Linked DNA regions of Elephas maximus indicus. The protein of the gene in region 1 interacts with the protein of each later gene in a biochemical or structural test. Links are inferred from orthologs where the notes say so. Each region holds a gene or a part of one and is shown in the gene's direction. Other genes may lie near its edges. The genes, in order: TRIM25 and ZC3HAV1.

What was found.
Region 2: of the proteins of TRIM25 (region 1) and ZC3HAV1, one has a biochemical effect on the other in vitro, tested with the Homo sapiens proteins (2 studies listed by BioGRID). The link is inferred for Elephas maximus indicus from reciprocal best matches to the Homo sapiens genes TRIM25 and ZC3HAV1.

Annotation. Positions count from the first base shown.
Region 1 is NC_064837.1:37,146,881-37,150,789, forward strand, and holds the start of TRIM25 (E3 ubiquitin/ISG15 ligase TRIM25), read left to right. Parts: upstream 1-1,569; 5' UTR 1,570-1,650; coding exon 1,651-2,247; intron 2,248-3,909.
Region 2 is NC_064826.1:11,011,789-11,015,697, forward strand, and holds the start of ZC3HAV1 (zinc finger CCCH-type antiviral protein 1), read left to right. Parts: upstream 1-1,292; 5' UTR 1,293-1,816; coding exon 1,817-2,112; intron 2,113-3,909.

The DNA of each region.
Region 1 (3,909 bases):
AATGAAAGAGAACAAATTGAGTAAAGGATCCTGGAGGAATAGGAGCCTGCTGGATGAGAATTATGGGAACCAGGGAGTAGAATATTGAGTTAAGCAGTCCTTGGCTAGAATTTTAGTCTTGCTTTCTGGAAGTTATCTGACCCTCATCTGTAAAATGGACACAATGACATCTGTCTTGCAGAATTTATAAGGATTGTTGTTATTGTAAAAGGACCCCTGGTGGGACAAGCCCTGGTGCTTGGTTTCTCACCGGAAGACTGGCCATTTAAACCTGCAGCCTCAGAAACCCTGTGGGGCGAGTCTACTTTGTCCCATAGGTCACTGTAAGTCGGAATCGACTTGACAGCCACTGCTCTTTTGGGTTGTTGCTGTGTACTGTAGAGTAGATTTGACTCATGGGGACTGCATGTGACAGAATAGAACAGCCCCATAAGGTTACCTTGGCTATAATCTTTACCAAAGCAGATCATCAGCTGATTGCCAAATCTGTCTCTTGTGGAGCCGGTGAGTGGGTTCAAACCTCCAACCTTTAGGTTAGCACCCCAGCGCTTTACCATTGCAGCACCAGGGCTTCTTTATAAAGATTATGGCTAATATATGTGATTTACCTAGTATACAGTAGGTTGCATATAAACAAATAATTACTTTTTGGATTACTATTACTATTACCATTCATAGTGACCCTACGAAGCAACGTAAAACTGCCCCATAGGGTTTCCAAGGAGCAGCTGGTGGATTTGAACTGCTAGCCTTTTTGCTTAGCAGCCGAGCTGTTAACCACTGCGTCACCAGGGCTCCGCTATCACTATTAGCAGTAGTCTAAGGTTTTTTTTTTTAAGGCATTTACCTTTTTCTCATTTTTGCCATCCACTCTGTACCTAAAGCAAACTCCAATTAACCCCTCCCAATACACAATCTTTCTCATTACCACCATCCCGTCTCCTCTCTTGAACTCGTCTAGCCTCTTGTCCACTCATTTTTCCTGTACCCAGGCCAGAGAAGGGGAAAAATAGAGCTAAATATTAAATGAAATTTAAATAAGCAATTTTTAGAAAAATGTTTAAGCTCTAATGTTACAGATGTGTGTGAGTGTGTGTAAACCTTTCATTAAACTGGATGTCTCCAAACTCCAGGAAAGTAGAAATGAGAATTAAAAATAAAATCCTGTTAGATTGGTGGAATGGAAAGAAGTCACCCAGTTTAAGTCTGAGCGTGGGTGTGAGCTCCAAACTCCAAGGGCTGTATGCTGATGGAGCATCCACACCCCCGAGCCCCCCGCAGAAAAAACAAAAACAGTCTGCGGAAGGCCGACTGGACCTCGGCTCTGGCTGGGGTCCAGGCCTCCGCATCCCTCGAGTTCATCGTCCGCACAGTGGCCCCAAAAAGCCCCGCGCCCACCGGGCGGAAGCTATACGGGCCGTTCCGCCGCTGACCCTCCCCTGGACTGCCAGTCCGCCGCCCGCACGGGGGCCGGATGCGGCCCGCCCCCTCACCCCCGGCAGCCAGCCAGCCGACCAGCCCGCGCCCCACGTGACTTCCGAGAGGCTGCGGGGACCGCCCCGGCCCCGATCAGTTTCGTTTCCTCACAGCTTCCGTGCCACAGTGCAGCAGCCTGGGTTCTAACGTGTCGTGCCCCTCCGGAGGAGCGCTATGGCGGAGTTGAACCCGCTGGCGGAGGAGCTGTCGTGCTCCATCTGCCTGGAGCCCTTCAAGGTGCCGGTGACCACGCCGTGCGGCCACAACTTCTGCGCATCGTGCCTGGACGAGACGTGGGCCGTCCAGGGCTCGCCGTACCGGTGCCCGCAGTGCCGCGCCGTCTACCAGGCGCGGCCGCAGCTCCAGAAGAACACGGTGCTGTGCGCCGTGGTGGAGCAGTTCCTGAGCGCCGAGCAGGCCCGGGAGGTGTCTGTCGACGGCTGGACGCTGCCCGTGCGCACCGCGGCCCCCAGCCTGCCCGAAAAGGTGGCCTGCGACCACTGCCTCAAGGCGGCCGCCGCCAAGACGTGCCTCGTGTGCATGGCCTCCTTCTGCCAGGAGCACCTGCAGCCGCACCTCGACAGCCCAGTCTTCCAGGACCATCCGCTGCAGCCGCCTATCCGCGACCTGATGCGCCGCAAGTGTTCTCAGCACAACCGGCTGCGAGAATTCTTCTGCCCCGAGCACGGCGAGTGCATTTGCCATATCTGCCTGGTGGAGCACAAGGCCTGCTCGCCGGCGCCGCTGAGCCAGGCCAGCACCGACCTGGAGGTAGGGGCGCCACGGAGGGCTGGTGGGGCTGCACAGAGGCCGTGCTCCCTGGGCCTCTCTGCCGCACCTTGAATGCTCTGGGGGTATAGGCTTTGCTGGGCCTGAGATGGAGGGCAGGGGTATCCCGAATGTCACAGGAGAAAGGAGCTGGGGATGATACAGGCCTCTCCCACCATGTATACCTGGCCCCCCAACATACACCCATTTTACAGAGAGGAAAACAGAAGACACAGCCGAAGTAGCTTTCCTTAAGCCTTGTGCTTGTCTAATGGTGTTTCGTAGATGGTTTTGAATGTTAACTCTAAGCCCTGGAGGTTACTTCTGTCCTTCAGTAAGTTCTGCGAGCGCCTAGGAGATGAGTCTTAGTATTTTCATTTACAGTTGAGGAAACTGAGGTCCAGAGAGATTAATCTAGCCCCAGGTAATGCAGTAAGAGCCCTGGTGGCACAGTGGTTAAAGCGCTTGGCTGCTAACCGAATTGTTGGCTGTTTGAAATCACTTGCTACCCTGCAGTGGAAAAATGCAGCAGTCTGCTTCGATGAAGGTTACAGCCTTGGAAACCCCATGAGGCAGTTCTACTCTGTCCTGTAGGGTTGCTGTGAGCTGGAATCGACTGGATGGCAGTGGGGGTTTGGTTGTTTTTTTTTTTAGTTTAATACAGCAAGGGGCGGAGTGGACATTGGGACCCAAGTTGGTTTGACTACACACTGTGTGATTTCTCTCCATGGATCAACCTCAGATCTGTAGGTCTGGAGAGTCCAGAGCACGGGACATTTCCAGAGGCTTAAGGTCATGTAAGCAAACACCTCTGGGGACCCGGAGAGTTCTGTTGACCAGGGAGAGTTGTTCTTATTAGAGGTCGGAGAGGGTGTGGGGAGCCCCAGGAATCCCTGGATGTGACCATAGGGAGCACCAGCCCTGTGGCACCATAGCACCGCCTCCTTATTGTGTGACTTTGAGCAAAGGATGTGGTCTGTGGCTTGGGGCCTCGTCAGTGAAATGAGGAGGTGAGACTAGGTGGATTCCTAAGGGACCTTGGTCTGTGATCTTCTTAGTGGTTTGGAGGGATCATACCTTTTCTCTGTGGACTCCAGGCAGAGGCTGAAAGATGTAATGAAACCACCTTGAATTGTATACCACTGTAAGTTCCAAAGCTTGGCCTTATTTTATTTCATGCTCCCGGCACTGTCAGATAGAACAAGGGCTCTTTTTGTTTTGTTAAAGGAGACATGAGGCCGGGGTGAGGTCGGGGAGGGCTGGGGGCGGGGGTTGCAGCACTGCTGAGTTCAGAGTACAGGCCTCCCCCATTCAGGTTACAGCCCTTCCTTGGCCTTATCTGTTTCTCCAGGCCAGAGCTGGGTGTTGAGAGAGAGCTGGGTTTGAATCCCAGCCCTGTGTCCTAGCTGGGAAATCATAAAAAGGAATAGTAATGCATCAGGGTTGTATCCTTTCACCATACCTGTTCAATCTGTATGCCAAGCAAATAACCTGAGAAGCTGGACTACATGAAGACGAGTGCAGCATCAGGATTGGAGGAAGACTCATTAACAACCTGCGTTACACAGATGACACAACCTTGCTTGCTGAAAGTGAAGAGGACTTGAAACACTTATTGATGAAGATCAAAGACCACAGCCTTCAATATGGATTACACCTCAACAT
Region 2 (3,909 bases), on another chromosome or scaffold:
GACTCATGGTGCAGACTATAACTGCTCCACAGGGCTTTCCAGGCTGTGACTTTCTGGAAGCAGATGGCCAGGCATTTCTCCTGAGGCACCTCTGGTGGGTTTGAGCCTCCAATCTTTCAGCTAGCAGTGGAGTGCTTAACTGTTCGCGTCACCTAGGGATTCCACCTTGTAAATCTTTTGCCCTCCTAACTTCACCTCAGTATCTGCTTCCTGGAGAACTCAGACTGCCACAGCACATATTTCAAAGTTCCCCCAAATGTCTGTCTGTCTTTTTTTTTTTTTTTGCCTTCCCACCCTCCTTACTTAGTTCTGTGTGGTTTCAAATTGAGGAGGATTTTGTATCTTTATTCCCAACCACTCTAGCCAAACTGGACTCTTCATTCGCTGATCTTCTATATATCCATGGCAGTATTTAGTCCCTGATTCCCTTATATTTTAATGTTTTCCCAAACACAAACTCTAGTGGCAGGGACTATTTCTTAAATTTCTGTATGTTCAGAATGACGAACTAATGTAAAGTCCACATGGAAGATACTCAATAAGTATGTTCAACTTTATTGATTTGGTAGTGAAAGCCCACATCCCTGGGAACCTCTCAGACCACATATAAGGCCAAGGGGATTAAAGGACAAGTGTGGAAGCAGTAGCCAGAAGAACCAGGAAGTCAGAAGACAGATTCCTCACTCCTACTGGGCCCCATGTCTGGATGGTTTTTGCACCAAAGTACTCTATTCTTGAGAGACACTGTCCATTTACCCCAATTACCAAACGGAAGAGAATTTCAATTTGTGATTCAGAAGAATTTCTAATATGGCAACCAAATTCTACTGTGTTTTTTAAAGGTCTATTTCTTGTCTGATCAATGAACCATTCATTGGTGGAGGGTAGAGAGGAGGGCCTATGTCCAAATACCTAAAGAGAGGGGCAGATCTGAAGCCTTGGGGTATGTCTAAGCGTGCCTGCCTATGACTTCTTTCTATCAGGGGGATTAAGTCGGGTCTGGGGCCCTGCTGTTAGCAATTACAATCAAGAAAGACGGGATCAAGAAGTGGTTCTTCTAAACGTTTGTAAGAAGGCAAAACAGAGGGAAAGGGAGAACAGTCGGTGTTCTTTAAGGGCGCACGGTGGTTTGAGGGAAAGTACACATGGCTCCTAGACCAGGCAGACCACGGTCTGGGGACTGGGGGGAGATATGGGGAATCCCCGAGCTCCGGCTTGATGGCAGTGCGTATTTGTGCAAGTTACTTCCTCAATTACAGAGGGAGGGTAGTAACAACCAACCCGTGGAGCTGTCCTGCAGATTCGCTACAATTCCGGAGTCAGCGCGCCGGGCTCGGAGGAGGCGCTCACCACGGTTTGCTCTCACCAGGGTTTGCTCGTTCCGGGATGAGTGAGTGGGGTGGGGAGCGAGAGGAACCAAGACCCGCGTCATTCACCACTGGCACATAAAAATCCCCGAGCTCATTTTCAGTTTCTCTTCTGTCCTGACAAGCCTCGTAGTGATCATCCTCGCCAAGCCCAGACTCGAGAGAGGCCGCCGGGCAGGCGCTGCGTCTACGCAGGCTTTCCCGCGCTTGGTCACTTGCTTGCCATTCGGTGGCCATCGCCTTCGACTTTTACACAACGACCCAGGCGGTGGTATCCGGCCTCCACCCAAGAGCCGAGTTGGAAACCGAAAGCGCTGAGCCCGGGGGAGGGGCGCCCCGCCCCGCGCGCCAGGAGGGCGACTTGTAGGTTTCGATTCTCCGGGAGCAAGCGCGGTCAGTTGCGCTCAGTGTCTGCAAGGCTCCGGCCGCCAAGCGGCAACGGCGTGGCCATGGCCGACCCGGAGGTGTGCTGCTTCATCACCAAGATCCTGTGCGCCCACAAGGGCCGCATGGCTCTGGACGCGCTGCTCCGCGAGATCGCGCTATCTGAGGAGCAGCTCTGCGAGGTGCTGCAAGCGGCCGGGCCCGACCGCTTCGTGGTCCAGGAGACCGAGGGTAGCCGGTGGGTGGTGGCCACCACTCGAGCCCGGGTCTGCCGTCGCAAGTTCTGCCAGAGACCCTGCGAAAACCTGCACCTCTGCAAGCTCAACCTGCTGGGCCGGTGCAACTATTCGCAGTCGCAGCGGTGAGTGTCCTAAGGTGGGGGAGAAAGACGGGCCGCTGTTCCACGAGGGGCGCGCCCTCGCCGGGATTCTGCACCCCGACAGTCTGTTCCACCAGCCCCTTTCTTCTCTGCTCGCCTAGGAGCATTTCTGCTCTGGCCGCGCACCCGCTCTTGCCGATCCCTTCCCGCGAGTGCCTCCAGTCTTTGCCTCCAATAGGGCCAACGCGATATTGCCCAGGTGGAGTGCGCTTAGCCCCCCCTCCCCTCCGCTAAGAATAAAGTGCTTTCTGGGCCAGGCAGGGCCTGGGGAAGTTGAAGGCGGTTTTGGGAAGAAAGGAAAATGCCTCTACTCCCTAAAATCTCAAGTCTTTCCCTAGACGTGTGACGGTCTTCCCAGCACCCCAGCCGCGCCACGCACCCCCATCCCTCTCCACCGCCGCTCCCTTCGGGTCTCTGCTTGGCCCTCCAGTCTCAGCCCCTCCAACCCCCTGTGATCACTTTTATGAAATCTGGGGCCGGTCCCCACCTGCTGACCGGAGTGGCCCCCTTCGAGGTTACCGATGATGTAGCGTCGTCTTCTGGCGTCCCTTCGCCCTCGTCTCTGAGTAGTGTCTGTCCCCACCGTTGACCACTCCCTTTTGGGACCACTGTCTTAAACTGGTCTTTTGAAACAGTGCGGGTTACCTCTTACGTAGCTGCTTCTGGTTCCACATGGTCTTTTATGCCTTATAACAACAGCTGTGCCCCAAGGTTGGGGTAAGTCTTTTGATCTAGAGGTCTTGAAGGTTTCTTCCTAAGAGCGCTCACTCCCTTGGGTTAGCGGTTTTGTCTACGAAGATGGCTTCCAAACATAGACCCACTGTGCAGGCCTTTCTACCCCGTCCAGGCTCCGCATCTCCCAGGGTCGTGGAATAGCTGTTCCTGAGCACCCTGCCAATACTCTGATCAAACTCATCGTCTTTACTCCAGGCAGGGTCTTCCACAATCCCCTCCACCCGATCTAAACCTTTTCTCCTCCTTCGGAAGTCTCCGATACCCATCTTGCTTCTGAATGAAGGCGCCGTTGAAGTAATCAAAAGGCTCTTTTGGCTACAGTCGATTCCCTCATCTAATCTAACCCTATGTTTTTCTGCTCAATTATTTTTTCCTGATTAGTGTTTTTCTTTCTTGGCTCTTCCATAAACACCTTAAGTGGTGTCCCAGTGTCCAAAATGGTGGTCATCAAACTTTGCTCACGAACTTCCTGTTAACAAAAACCTTTAGATCGTGTACCGCCAAATATGTGTAATAAAATGTACAGAAGATAGATGCTTTAGATAAAAGATGGAGGAGATATTTTCAAAAATGTATTTATTGAGAGCAAAAAACCTTTCTGCTCACTCTAAAAAAAAAAAAAAAGTGCTTGAGTATCCTTCCCTTTTTAAAAACTCAGAATTTAGCATGCTGTGAGTCAACAATTTGGAAGTCTGTTTCTGAGATGCTGGAAGTTACGTTTATAGAGGGAGTCATCTCAGTCCGGAAAGGGAAGGAAATACTAAGGAGGAGAGCGTAGCAGAGGGAACATTCTAGCACTATACTGAATAACCATATTGGGAGGCTTTGTTTTTCTGTTTTTAAGGTGAATGACTAAAAATTCTTTACCAACTAATGTTGTCTTTTTGTTTTAAATATATTTTTCAATCTTCTGATTTTTTACTACGGGTGTTTTTCAACATATACAAAAGTAGAGAGAAGAGAATGATGACCCCCTGTGTACCCATCATTTGGCTTTAACAGTTCTCAGAATATGGCCAATTTTGTTTTGTTTATTCTTCTCTG